3 linked regions of the Kluyveromyces lactis genome follow. The main gene of each other region encodes a partner of the protein of the gene in region 3 in a complex. Links are inferred from orthologs where the notes say so. Each region holds a gene or a part of one and is shown on either strand. Other genes may lie near its edges. The genes, in order: GTF1, PET112 and HER2.

Region 1 (3,182 bases), on a different chromosome or scaffold from region 3:
CCACCGCATGATAGAATCAAAAATTCTACGATATCCAATGGAACTTCTCTGCCAACGTAAAATACAAATTCCGAGAACAAAGTAGCAACAGGAGAATCGAATTTAGAAGGTTGTTCTAACTGGTCACCTTGGTTCTTATTAGTATCTTCAAATTTATCCAATTCAACGTCTTCCACATTTTGTTCTTGGTCTTGGTCTTGTTCCTCTTCGTCATGTTCATTAGAGTCTGCCTTCAAAGCGGTCTTTAAGGTATTAGCTCCCAATTCCTGAACTTCAACGTTTTCCGATAGCTCCTTTGGTTTCACAGCCAACGAACTCTTCTCATCATTAGATTCCAAGATGTATGCACTTAATCCCCCGATCAGCTTGTTCTTCTTAATATCCAACTTCGGAGGATATACCAAACCGGCATCTGTGTACAACTTGAACAAAACGAAATGCAACAAAGTAGAGTAAAACTCCAAGAAAGTTAACATGATCCTGAAATCGACATCGCTTGGAATATTTTCAGGGAACTTGTATGGTACCAACCATCTGACATCTTCACCTTTTACACTGGCTTGGTAATAAACACCCTTGATGGAAACAAATACCTTACGTACGCATCTTTCCTTGGCAATGTATGCAGACCATTGATCACACATTTGCTGTGCACTTTGTGTGATTCTAGAAGACACTTGATCGGTAGCTGGCAAGTTGGCGAACAAGAACAACATGTTCAAGGCATCGTCCACATCTCTCAAGGCATCAGCAAAAGATGGATAACGTTCCTTGATGATATTATCTAATTGATAGTTAGGTCTGTTCTCTTCCAATCTCTTAGCTGCTGACACTTCTCCTCTCCCTAGAGCCTTAGTCAACTTTTTAGCAAAAGTCTTATGTTCTCTGAACTTGGCCAATACAGGCTCATGCATCAAATACTGAATATCCTTATAATAATAGAAAGTGGTAGGAGCCGTAGATCCTTTATTAGCCTTCTTCTTATTCCTAGGTTCTCTGGGGTAAATACCCTTGAAGATACACAATCTTCTAAAATCAGCTAAAGAGATCTGTAGTTTACGAACGGCCTGAGACCTGGTAATGAAGTTTCTAGCATTACCTCTGGTATTTCTCTTCTTAATTCTCATCTTGAACAAAAAAAAGTATCTCTCCTTGTCTAGTTAGTTAGCTATCTTTTAAACCTGAACCTGGAAGATTACTCTAGCTTATCAAATTGAATCACTTTATAACTTAACTAGAACCACCAAAGACAAGCTATCGAGATAGCAATTGTCTATTCAATCATTCATTGTACGTATAATAAGTGATGTATGTGCAATTTGTATTTGAAGCTCATCGCATCTCATCGCATCTCGAAAACGAAAATTTTCAGAAATTGAAAAAGAAATTATCAATCACGTGATACAAATATTCAGACTTAAGTTGACTACATCCCAAAAGGGGAATATTTGGGGCACAATATCAAAACCGTACAAGATGAGTTTCTGAATTTATTCACGTGATCATTAAAATGTTTAATTACAGCTTGCACGTCGGAAATGTAAAGAAAGGTTCCTTATTCTGACTTTTAAATTTGAAGAGGATAAAAACGTTGTGACTGGTATATTCCCGGGCTCTCACCTGTATATCTCAAACATCTCATACCAATAACAATGCTTCTTGCTTTAAGAAGAAAAGCAATCCACGGCATTCGTTTCTCCAGTGGTAAATGTGGTCAGAATTTGAGTGGCTCCACGATAGGACCGAAATTTACCAGCGATAAAGAGGTTGAAGAATTTTTGAGTAAGAGTACATGGGATGTACGAGAATATGTTCCCTCATCGGTAGATGAGAAATTGATTCCATCAGAAGAAACTGTGGTGAGATTGTTAAAGATTTCCGGACTTCCAATAAAGAATATAGACCAGATTCAAATCAGGCTTGCGAACCAACTTTCGTTCATCAACCGTTTGCATAATCTTCCTGTTGACGAAAATATAAATCCAAACCATGCAAGAATTATAGAAAGGAATCCAACTCCGTTGGATTACGAGGGATTAATCAAAGGGATTGCAAGCCAGCAGAAATCGGACTCATTGGGCGAAATAAGCGGATCATGGGATCCTACCAAAACCGCTGCAGTGAAAAGAGATGGGTTTTTCATCTTAAGGGAAGGCCTACTTAAGGGAAGAGATTGAATATTCAGGGTTGGGACGAAATAGCCCTTTATTTTAACTCATATGTACTATTTACAGAGGTAGAAGAAGTAAAAAGATGGTAAGTATAACTCAGAATCTTGGGAATACTCCAAGGGATAACCTTTTCTCTCTTTGTTTCTGGATAGACTTCGCAACTAGCCATCCGTACAATACACCCATCGCAGAACCACCTAAATGTGCTGCATAATCGAATGACCCCCATCTCAATGCGCATCCTACGACGTTCCATGTCACTAATCCAAGGAATGTGAACCATGCACCGAATGGCACCGGAAAGATGAAGAACATCATCTTAGCGTTTGGAATCAAGTACGAGAAACAACCGAATAATCCGAAAAGAGCTCCGGATGCTCCCAAACTAGGACCCATCATAGCAATTTTAGCAAACCTGGGGTACCATAGAGAGAAAAGGGAACCAGCAATAGCACTGTTAAGATAGAGACTGGTGAAATTTCCAGGTCCCAACATCGTGACTAAACTGGTACCGAAGGAGAACAAACATATCATGTTCATACCTAAATGCCAAAATTCCTGATGAGAGAATGCACTACCTAGTAAAGACCATTTGGAATAAATGTGATCTTTTTGCAAAAGCGCATATCTTTGTAGTGGTCCCCAAAACCTTGGCAATTGCCATAACCCAAAGACGGCCAGATTAATACCAATGATGGCGTATGGTAAATGGGTCGGGTGTCTCTTGAAATATGAGAATGGAGGGATCTGGAAAAGGTATGGAGCCAACATCAAAGTACCACCCATGAAGAGTACACCATATAAAGTAAGTTTGATCAATTCGCTGGAGTTACCTGAACCTCTATTATACTGTTGAAATCTGTTAAGCCTGGTGTATCGGCTTTGCGATCCATTGAACATATCCCTAAGATTAATCTTTGCATTAGAAGTGGTAGTAAAGAATCGGGAGCGTGGCTTGAAAAGGGCATTAAAATTACTGGTTCCCTTTCCGAGCATAAATAATGACGATTT
Region 2 (4,456 bases), on a different chromosome or scaffold from region 3:
CAACTTTTGGTAGTAATTTTATCGAACAGTCTTTCTCTCAAGGTCATGACTTTATGAACCCTTTAACACCTTCGTCATCATCAGTTACTGAAAATAATGATCCACAACTACCTTATGGAGGGGGGTTATACTCTTCAAGTTCGTTATCTTCGACTTTCATGCTCTCTGAACCAACTTCGACTTGGAATAACGACTCTTCTGCCCAACCAACTACTTCTTCTGTTTCCATCTGGAATTCTGACATGAGCGTTTGGAGTTAAAGAATTTCAACGTTTCGAAATTTATGCGATATTCCACTAATGCAACTACACAACCCATGAGTAGTTTCATCTTTCCGAAAAACTGTACATTGTAAGTTCGGTTCCCCTCTAATTATAGCCTGAAGTTTCTATTTCTTCATTTCTTCCAAACCTGGATTTTGTTTATTGTTGCAATTACCTTAAGAAGGTGACTGCCTAATTTTTCTTTTCAATGGTATGGGTACCCTAATATTTTTATTCAGTATTTGTAGAATGGTTCTACACACTTGGTATACAAGGTTTATAGTAAGGAAATTTTATAAATGGTATATACTTTCATATTAGTCAGGTAGTTAAAAGGTATTTCGGTGAATTATCCTTTGAATAATCTTAAAATAGTTTTGGATCGTAGTATGTTCATTATGAACTTATCTATTCTGTATTTACATGGATGATAGTGTGGACATGTTAGCGAAGGAATGTAATCACGGTTCAACACCAAGAAGTCTTTTGAAAGTAATTTCGAATTCTTGAGCTTGTATTCTACCTTGAGATATCCTCATGGCCTGACCGACAAGGAACTTAATAGAATTTTTCTTCTTACCAGATTTAATATCTTCAATCATTTTGTTATTGTTGAGTTCGGTAATTATACTTTCACAAATTAATTCGAGCTCTTCCGAACCAACATCTGAGACTGCATGTAGCTCAAATTCCTCAATTAGAGCATTGAAATTTATTGGCTCAGAAGCCACAAAAGAGTTCTCCTTAAAGGAATTCAAAATATGCGATAATAAAAGCTTACCACTGGCGTTGCTGATGGTTTTCTTAGAGATTAGCAAGAGTAATTCAGCAAATTTCTCCGGAGGTAGAATATGGGAAACTTTGATGAGAGGAATTTCCATCTTGTTTAGGTTTCCCAAAAGTTCATGAATTATCCAATTTGCAGGTAGTTTTCTCACGAACTCTTCGTTTTGTTTCTTGCATAATGAGTGATATGCATCAAATGTACTAAAATAGCATGCTCTTAATTCATCATGGGAATACAAATCATCATGGCCATTACTATTGATTGTGAGAATTTTTGCATCTTTTAAAGTTAGACCGTAGGGCTCTTGCATTAACATCATACAGGTATCGTCTGGTAACGTTGGAATTGTCTTTTCTACTCCTTCAACTATTTCATTGGTTAAAAGAATATTTGGTAGTTCTGGATCCGGCATATACCTGTAGTCTATGATACTTTCCTTAGTTCTGAGTTTAACAGTTTCCGAACCTGTCCATCCCCTAGTTTCTGTGTGTTTGAGTTGGTCACCTTCGCCTTTTTCTATCATGTTAACTTGTCTATTGTATTCGTATTTGATAGCATTAGTGATTGAGCTAGTATTTGGTAAATTCTTCAACTCTACTCTGGCGTAATCATTAATAGAAAGATTTACATCAACCCTCATCGCGCCCGTTTCAAGGTCACCTGTAGATATCTTCAAATGTCTGACAAGGTTTTGATATTTCTTGATGAAAGCTCTTATCTGTTTTAGGTCTGTAAAATCGGGTTCAGTCACCATTTCGATCAATGGCACATTCGAACGATTTAAGTCGATTTTTGTATTGGAGTCAGTAGAGTTATATACAGATTTACCTGTATCCTGTTCTATCTGTAACTGAATGACAGATATGTCTTTGAAAGCCTCTTCAATAGAGTCTAAATCTTTGTACAATCGTAGTTTACCTTTACTTGAGAAAGGATTGTAATGTTGTGTGATTTGATAGCCCAATGGTTGATCACCATAGAAGTAATGTTTTCTGTCAAAATGTGAGTTTAGACTGACCTTGCATCGTAATGCTAGCGATAACTTCAATGCAAATAGAACTGCCTGCAAGTTGAGTATTGGTTGTGTTCCGGGTATCGAAACATCGAAATACGATGTATGATAGTTTGGCTTATCCACATCTGCAAACGGGCTGTTAGTTGACATTGAAAAAAGCTTATTGTCTGTATTCAGTTGAGTATGGATTTCAAGTCCGCATTTTAACTTATACTCAGGAAGAATTTTGAATTTGGAACCAGTATTCCTCTTAGCATAGTTCCTTCTAAACACCAACATTTCTGGTTATTTATAGCTTATCACTCAGTAGTATAACACCCACTAGAAATTCAAAAACAGCTAATAAGCAGTTGGTAAAATCACTAACACACAGCGCCTAAAAGCCGTTCTTTTGTCAAGTATGTTTGTCTTTATATTCATGTTCATTGCTTCTGTTAATTCAAATTTCATGTTTTTTACCCGAACCTTAGAAAATGTGCCATAAGCACGATGACAGATTTATTTAACTGACGATTGAAAGTGACATAACTTGTGCACACAGTGTATTTGGATAGTTTGAGCTTTGTTTGCCTTATTCTGTTTTATACATTTTTCATAAATATTATACACCGTTTCAGAATTATCTTGGTTTTCGAACAGCCATAATTATTGTTTCTAACTAGTTCCTTTTATCGGTGTGGAATAGAATAGAGTTTCTGTTCAAAGATTTCTTTCCGTCCGTAACCTTTTTCTTAACAGATCTACAGTGATCCAAACTATCTGGTAGTGATATTTGATCAACTTCGTCTTCGTAATAGTTACAATCTGAAATTTTCTGCTTAAACAACAGTTGGCAATCAATATCTTCATCAAAAGCACACGACTTAGCACGGAATTTTAATTTGGAGCTGGGTATCATTTTAGAAAGAGGTTCGATGTTTTCAATATGCACAGTTGCCTTTTCCGGTCCAACTGGTTCAATTTGTTGGTTATTGCACTCTGGTACTTCATTCATTGGGTTTAATATATAGAATGGCTTAACTGATTCAGGCAAGTTGGTAAAATCATCAATTGAAAACGCCTGTGAAAAATACCAATTTGGGTCCAACTTTTGGTACACTGACGGAATATAGCTAGCAGTTCGAAGGTTACCTTTTTGAGACCAGCTCAAGTTTGGTAAGCATTCCAATTCAAACAAAAAATTAGTTCTACACTTCGTCAAATCTTCATCTGAATAGTGAGCGTCTTTGATGAAATAATCACGATTTTGAATGCTTAATCTTCTTTCAAGGTCCTTAAAATTATCTTGTAATTCTTCTAACTTTAAAGAAGTCAAAACTTCTTGCTTTTTCGTATCTAACACAGTGTCCGTCTCTATATTGGTGGACAGCCTTTTGCGTTGTGGAGATTGTTTTTCGAGATGTAAGTTCAAAACCCCTGTAAGGCTGCTGCTAGCTGATTGAGGGCTTTCGTTTAAGTAAGGTATTTCAATCGGAATATTCTCCTTATTCAAATCTTCCAATAGGATATTTTTTTTTAAGCACATCCTTTTCGCCGGCTGGGTATTAACATCTTGGTTATCCAATGGGATCTTTCTTCTAAGCTTTCCGACCATTTTTGCCTTCTGTTTGAGCGAACGCTTTTCTATAGGAAAATTGCCGGGTAGTACTTTTCAAAGCAGGAGATTTAATTGATAATTTACTTAATTTTGAACTTATAATCAGGACCCAAGGTTTCTGGTATCATCTTTTATATTCCATTACCTATAGTACCAATTTATTGACATTTTGTCACAAAAGTGTCAAAATAAATGAACATGATAAAGTACCCATAGTTGCTAATACTAATATATATCGTCACGTATCACATGAAAACATACACTGGATGTTTCTTATGGGTGAAATCAAGAAACTGAATGCTTTGCAACTAGAATAAAGTTGATCTGTCGAACTGTAATGGTATTGTTGGCCTTTATGAGTTCACTATCATGTTCCAGTTTAGATCACCAGTTCCGGGTAATCATTTTCAAATTTTTTTCTTTGGTTCTCTGAATAAACAAATAAAGATGATGTTCTAAATCTACCTTGCAGAACCAGGTCTAACAGTTATGTTTCTCTAAGGGCACTTTGTCCAATTGGTTAACTGATTGCTCAGCATAAAATTTTGCTTTACTGTATCTGTGTACTTGTCTTTTTTGAATTTCGGAAATAGGGTATAGACTTGAGCTAACAGTGTATCGGCAAGACAGGACAGATGTCAATATATTCTACGCCGTTGAAAAGCAATTGGAATGGCAATGCAAACTTTGCCAACCCGTCTGCCAATGTCAACGGGCTACCGATGAATGGAATTGGCAATACCTCTTTGGTGCCTCAACAACAAGGATCAGACGGTACTATAGGAACGTACGGT
Region 3 (4,240 bases):
ACACCAAGACATGAAATTAAAGAACACCTTGAAAATAAAGCTTTCTGGTTTAATGGATCTTTTCAAGAATCGTTACAAGAGGTTCAGGAAACCTCCTATTGATGATACGTTCTTGATTCACTTATTTGAGCCTGAAACCTTTGCTGCCAACCAAGGCTGGCAACCTGCTTATGTAAAGGACGGCGATATGATTCTCGAAGTTGCTACTGGTAGAAAATTCTATAACATGGATTTGGATATTATCGAAGAGAGATTATGGAATGGTTATTACTCTGAGCCGAAACAATTCCTAAAAGATATCGAGTTGATTTATCTTGATGCTACCACATCAGCGGACAGAGAAAGAGTAATAAAGGCATCTGAAATGTTTGCTAATGCACAAGTCGGCATCGAAGATATCTCGCAACCAGAATTTGTTGCAGAATGCAAAGCCACACGCCAAAGAGAACTTCTAAGACAAGAATTATTTATAAAGGAAAAAAGTGAACGAGTGGATAAGGAACAACAAATACTTTTGCAGAACAATCCAACTCAAACTGATTCGATCGCTACAGTTGAACTAACTACCGCCTCAGGAAACCAAGTGCAGTCTCAGGCTCAATTAGATGCGGGTACACTAGATCTAGGTGAAACGTCTCAAGTAGAGCCATTCACAACACAGCCTGTGAACTTTGGAACCAATGATGCTGATTTGGCAAAAACGGACACTGTTCAAGATTATTCGGAGAGCAGGCTTACCAATGCGGAAAATGGCTTTGCTCAGACTAGTCACAATAATTCGCATTTAACTGTTGATACTGAAGATGCAACTAATAAGGAGCAGGAAAAGCAACCACCGAGCGTCACTGAAGCTGAAGTAGAACCAGAAGCTCAATCAGAACCAGAACCAGAGTCAGAACCAGAGTCAGAATTAGAACCAGAACCAGAATTCGTCTACGATGAATCTAGAGCTCTCTCTTTGATCTCTGCTCTGGAAAAAAATACACAAAACTTCACAGTAGAGAAACTAGAAGAAGTTTATGCATCCATAGCCAACGTCATCTGGAACAATAGACTTTCATGGGACAAAACGGATGCTCTCGATCAGTTAGAAGGGCTTATCAAGACTTTATAAAAGAATTTCTGTTTATAGAATTATGGATTTTAACTAAACTTCAACTCATTTAACTATTTACAAGTGCATCAATTTCAGAACAGGCATCTAACAACTCGTAATCATTACCGTGTTGAGAGAATACTTGAATACCAAATGCGTGCCCTGCCGGTACAGTCATTGTTGGAAGCCCACATAATGACATGGGCATTGTGAATATGTCATTTATGTATGTATTCAAAGGGTTTTTATTCTCCTCGCTCACAACTTCATCATAGGTAGTAGGAAATGAAGTTGAGGTTAGGGACAACATGATATCAACGCCGTCTTTATTAACAGAGTTCCCACTTAACACATTTGGGAACCTGAAAGCCCGATCAAAGTCATTTATTAGTTGGACTCTTAGCTTTTGAGCTTTAATGTAGTTGTTCTTAAAGGACTCTGAGCATAAGTTGTAATTTCCCAAGATGATTCTGTTTTGAACTTCCGGTCCGAATGCCGACCTTGTTGGTGTAAATAAAGTACCATCTTCAACATCGGATTCTGCTCTATAACCGTACCGGACACCATCATATCTGGAAAGATTAGACACTGCCTCGGCAGGAGACAACGTGTAATAAATAGATAGTGCATTTTTCACTGATGGAATTGACACAGGATATACCTCATGCCCTTTCTTCATTAAACGTTTAATGATCGCCGTCATGGCAGCTCTAAATTCAGCAGGAACACTTTCCTGAGAAAATTCTTCCGGTATACCTATTCTTAAAGTCTTTCTCTTGGTTGTCAATGAAGTAAACTTGTGTCTCAATTCCTCGCTTAACGAAGTTGGATCTTTCTTGTCATGCTTATCTAACAACGAGAAGACCCTATCAATCATAGACAAATCGTTCGCAAATACCCCTACCGTATCCAAGCTCTGAGCATACGATATAACTCCATGCCTTGAGAGCCTACCATACGACGGCTTGAATCCAAAAGTTGAAGTGTATGAGGCTGGTAACCTTACGGACCCACCTGTGTCAGTTCCTAATGCAAAATCAACAACTCCGGATGCTACTGCAGCAGCAGATCCAGATGACGAACCACCTGCGATAACTCGATCCTTGTGATCAAAGAGCGGGTTGAATGTTGGCCCAAAATGAGAATGTATCCCAGCAGAACCCATACCGAATTCATCCATGTTGGCTTTACCAGCTATCACCGTTCCTGCTTCTAGCAATAACGAAACAACGGTGGCATCAAAAGGCGACATATAGCCATCTAAAATCTTAGAGGCACATGTAGAAGGCATATTCTTGGTGGCTATATTGTCCTTAATGGCGGCCAGGGTATAATTCAACGGTTTATCTGCGGTAGTGTTCTTATCTATTGATTCCAATTGCGACGATGCTCTCTCATTAACATATGTGAAAACATTGTAGCGACTTTGAATCTCCGGTATCTGCTGGAGCCTCGAAAGTGCCGTCTTGATAGACATGATCAGTAGCGAGTGTGTATGGTCAATTAAAAGAGAATTAGAGTAAGTCACTCCATTTTCACTTCCCAATGTAATATATTGTAGTGTATTGATTGAAAAGAACTAAATTCGATTCTAAGGTTTCATATCTATGAAACTTATTAACTATTGAACAGTTAAAGATCACAACCCGATTAGGGACCGATATATGGGACATACTAGCGCACATTCATAACTAGAGACCGGGAATAACTCATGGCTGTTGAAATAATCGATCTATCTACTGAGGTGGAACAATTAGGGTTACAAGGCGATACAGGGAAAGAAGTGTATGAGACCAGTGATGTTGAAGAAACACCAGACCAAGTAGTGATTACCGAGGCAAATGAAGATATAATTGAGGAGGAAATACCTAAGGTTCAAGAGAATAACGAAAGGTTCGAGCATTCTGTGCTAAGTTCGGAGGATACCGATTTTTCAGGAAAACTATACGCACTGCCGACGTATAATATCAGACATATAAATGAAACAAGAAGGCAGAGGCTGGCAAGGATACGGAGGGAGCTCCTTGAGATAGAGCAGGATTCCGAGGAGGATGGTTCCTCAAACGAATTACAGAACTTGAAGCAATTGTATGAAACGTTGGCTCAGTCTACGGAAAGTACAATGGAAAACATACAAAGCCAATTGGTCATAGCATCAGACGAGGATACAGAAAATGAGGTTACACTTCCAAACATCAGGATAGAAATCAACCAATTGAAGCAGCTGGAGGATATTGAGCATAAGATTTCCATATTGGAGTCACAAATCGGACCCTCGAATACGAATAAATCGATAACGTCAATCATCAATGAACTTCACAGAGAGATTAATATCCTCAAGTTGGATGAACCGACGTTGACTGGATTCCAAAATAAAATGAAAGAGATAAGTGATCAGTATGACCAGTCGATCATCGGAAGGAGAGCTCAGAAAGACCCAAATCTATCTACTGATATCGAAAGGAAGTTAAAATCTACAGAATCTAAGGTCAATGACATTTACGATAAGTATAACATCTTAAACAAGTACTCGGAAGTGATTCCACAAATCACAGAACGTGTACAGTCGCTAAACGTTCTACATACCTCTGTGAATGACATGAACGATACGGTATCTGAGATTAACGATCATATGTCTTCAGTTCATTCTCAGATCGAAAAATGGTCATCGCTCTTAGAATCCACGTCACGACAGCTTACCGACAGAGAACAATCCTTCAAGCGGACTAGGCATCAACTAGAGTTACAGCTCAACGATCTAGAGGTGAGAATAGGTAAATTGAGTGGCCAATAGCGTTTCTATGGATAGTTAATACTAGTAGTCAGTAGCCTTTTTTTTTATAGCTCATCTCTTCGCATTGTTAAAAGTGCACAAGAATCATAATTCGTAATCTTTAGCAAAGAACACCTTTTAAGTTGACTTTAACACAAGAAGATCAACGTAAAGCCCATATTGGAAAACCGTTACAGTCGTTATACTGTAGTTTGGCTATAGGGTTGATAATATTAATCTTTGTACAGGATGAGTACGACTTATTCAGTCCATTCCGTGGGCTCTTATATGAAGGCGATGGAAGTAATGGTTTCAGCAGCTCAGGCATTCCCTCATCTAGATACAAGCACAATCCCTAAGGTCGATGAGGA

Evidence for each region.
Region 1: the proteins of HER2 (region 3) and GTF1 are in contact, whole or in part, in a crystal structure (PDB 4N0I), measured with the Saccharomyces cerevisiae proteins. The link is inferred for Kluyveromyces lactis from reciprocal best matches to the Saccharomyces cerevisiae genes HER2 and GTF1. Residues at the interface, in NP_014021.1 of Saccharomyces cerevisiae: Phe72, Lys73, Pro75, Lys82, Phe177, Lys212, Ile239, Val240, Lys241, Glu242, Phe243, Ser244, His245, Glu246, Tyr256, Leu257, Leu260, Glu261, Ile264, Glu269, Ile270, Tyr271, Pro272, Val273, Ser274, Ile275, Pro276, Lys279, Asn280, Leu282; in NP_011616.3 of Saccharomyces cerevisiae: Gly29, Ala30, Lys31, Ile32, Gly33, Lys34, Lys35, Phe36, Met39, Ile42, Arg43, Tyr45, Leu46, Arg48, Val50, Trp51, Ser52, Val53, His54, Tyr56, Leu57, Ile59, Lys76, Leu77, Leu78, Arg79, Leu80, Ser81, Gly82, Leu83.
Region 2: the proteins of HER2 (region 3) and PET112 are in contact, whole or in part, in a crystal structure (PDB 4N0H), measured with the Saccharomyces cerevisiae proteins. The link is inferred for Kluyveromyces lactis from reciprocal best matches to the Saccharomyces cerevisiae genes HER2 and PET112. Residues at the interface, in NP_014021.1 of Saccharomyces cerevisiae: Val56, Leu69, Phe72, Pro75, Phe76, Arg176, Phe177, Gly178, Val179, Ile180, Gln184, Ser185, Met211, Lys212, Asp213, Pro214, Thr215, Ala291, Glu292, Ser295, Asn296, Ser298, Arg299, Tyr300, Arg304, Tyr305, Leu319, Phe320, Arg324, Asn339; in NP_009473.2 of Saccharomyces cerevisiae: Tyr66, Ile69, Ala70, Leu71, Pro72, Gly73, Thr74, Gln75, Pro76, Val77, Arg105, His107, Phe109, Tyr110, Gly111, Pro114, Gln115, Gly116, Tyr117, Tyr123, Leu177, Asp297, Arg299, Tyr300, Met301, Pro302, Pro304, Glu305, Pro307.

The regions. Positions count from the first base shown.
Region 1 is NC_006040.1:1,295,100-1,298,281, reverse strand, and holds GTF1 (glutamyl-tRNA(Gln) amidotransferase subunit F), read left to right. Parts: upstream 1-1,652; coding exon 1,653-2,177; downstream 2,178-3,182. Other genes in the region: mRNA-binding ribosome synthesis protein NOP7, read right to left, coding at 1-1,127; rhomboid protease PCP1, read right to left, coding at 2,268-3,182. UniProt on the Saccharomyces cerevisiae protein: Allows the formation of correctly charged Gln-tRNA(Gln) through the transamidation of misacylated Glu-tRNA(Gln) in the mitochondria. The reaction takes place in the presence of glutamine and ATP through an activated gamma-phospho-Glu-tRNA(Gln).
Region 2 is NC_006041.1:1,834,946-1,839,401, reverse strand, and holds PET112 (glutamyl-tRNA(Gln) amidotransferase subunit PET112), read right to left. Parts: upstream 2,345-4,456; coding exon 725-2,344; downstream 1-724. Other genes in the region: KLLA0_E20681g (uncharacterized protein), read left to right, coding at 1-260; KLLA0_E20637g (uncharacterized protein), read right to left, coding at 2,724-3,659; NUP170 (Nup170p), read left to right, coding at 4,298-4,456. UniProt on the Saccharomyces cerevisiae protein: Allows the formation of correctly charged Gln-tRNA(Gln) through the transamidation of misacylated Glu-tRNA(Gln) in the mitochondria. The reaction takes place in the presence of glutamine and ATP through an activated gamma-phospho-Glu-tRNA(Gln).
Region 3 is NC_006037.1:861,304-865,543, forward strand, and holds HER2 (glutamyl-tRNA(Gln) amidotransferase subunit HER2), read right to left. Parts: upstream 2,574-4,240; coding exon 1,164-2,573; downstream 1-1,163. Other genes in the region: chromatin segregase YTA7, read left to right, coding at 1-1,114; JNM1 (Jnm1p), read left to right, coding at 2,808-3,890; SLH1 (RNA helicase), read left to right, coding at 4,119-4,240.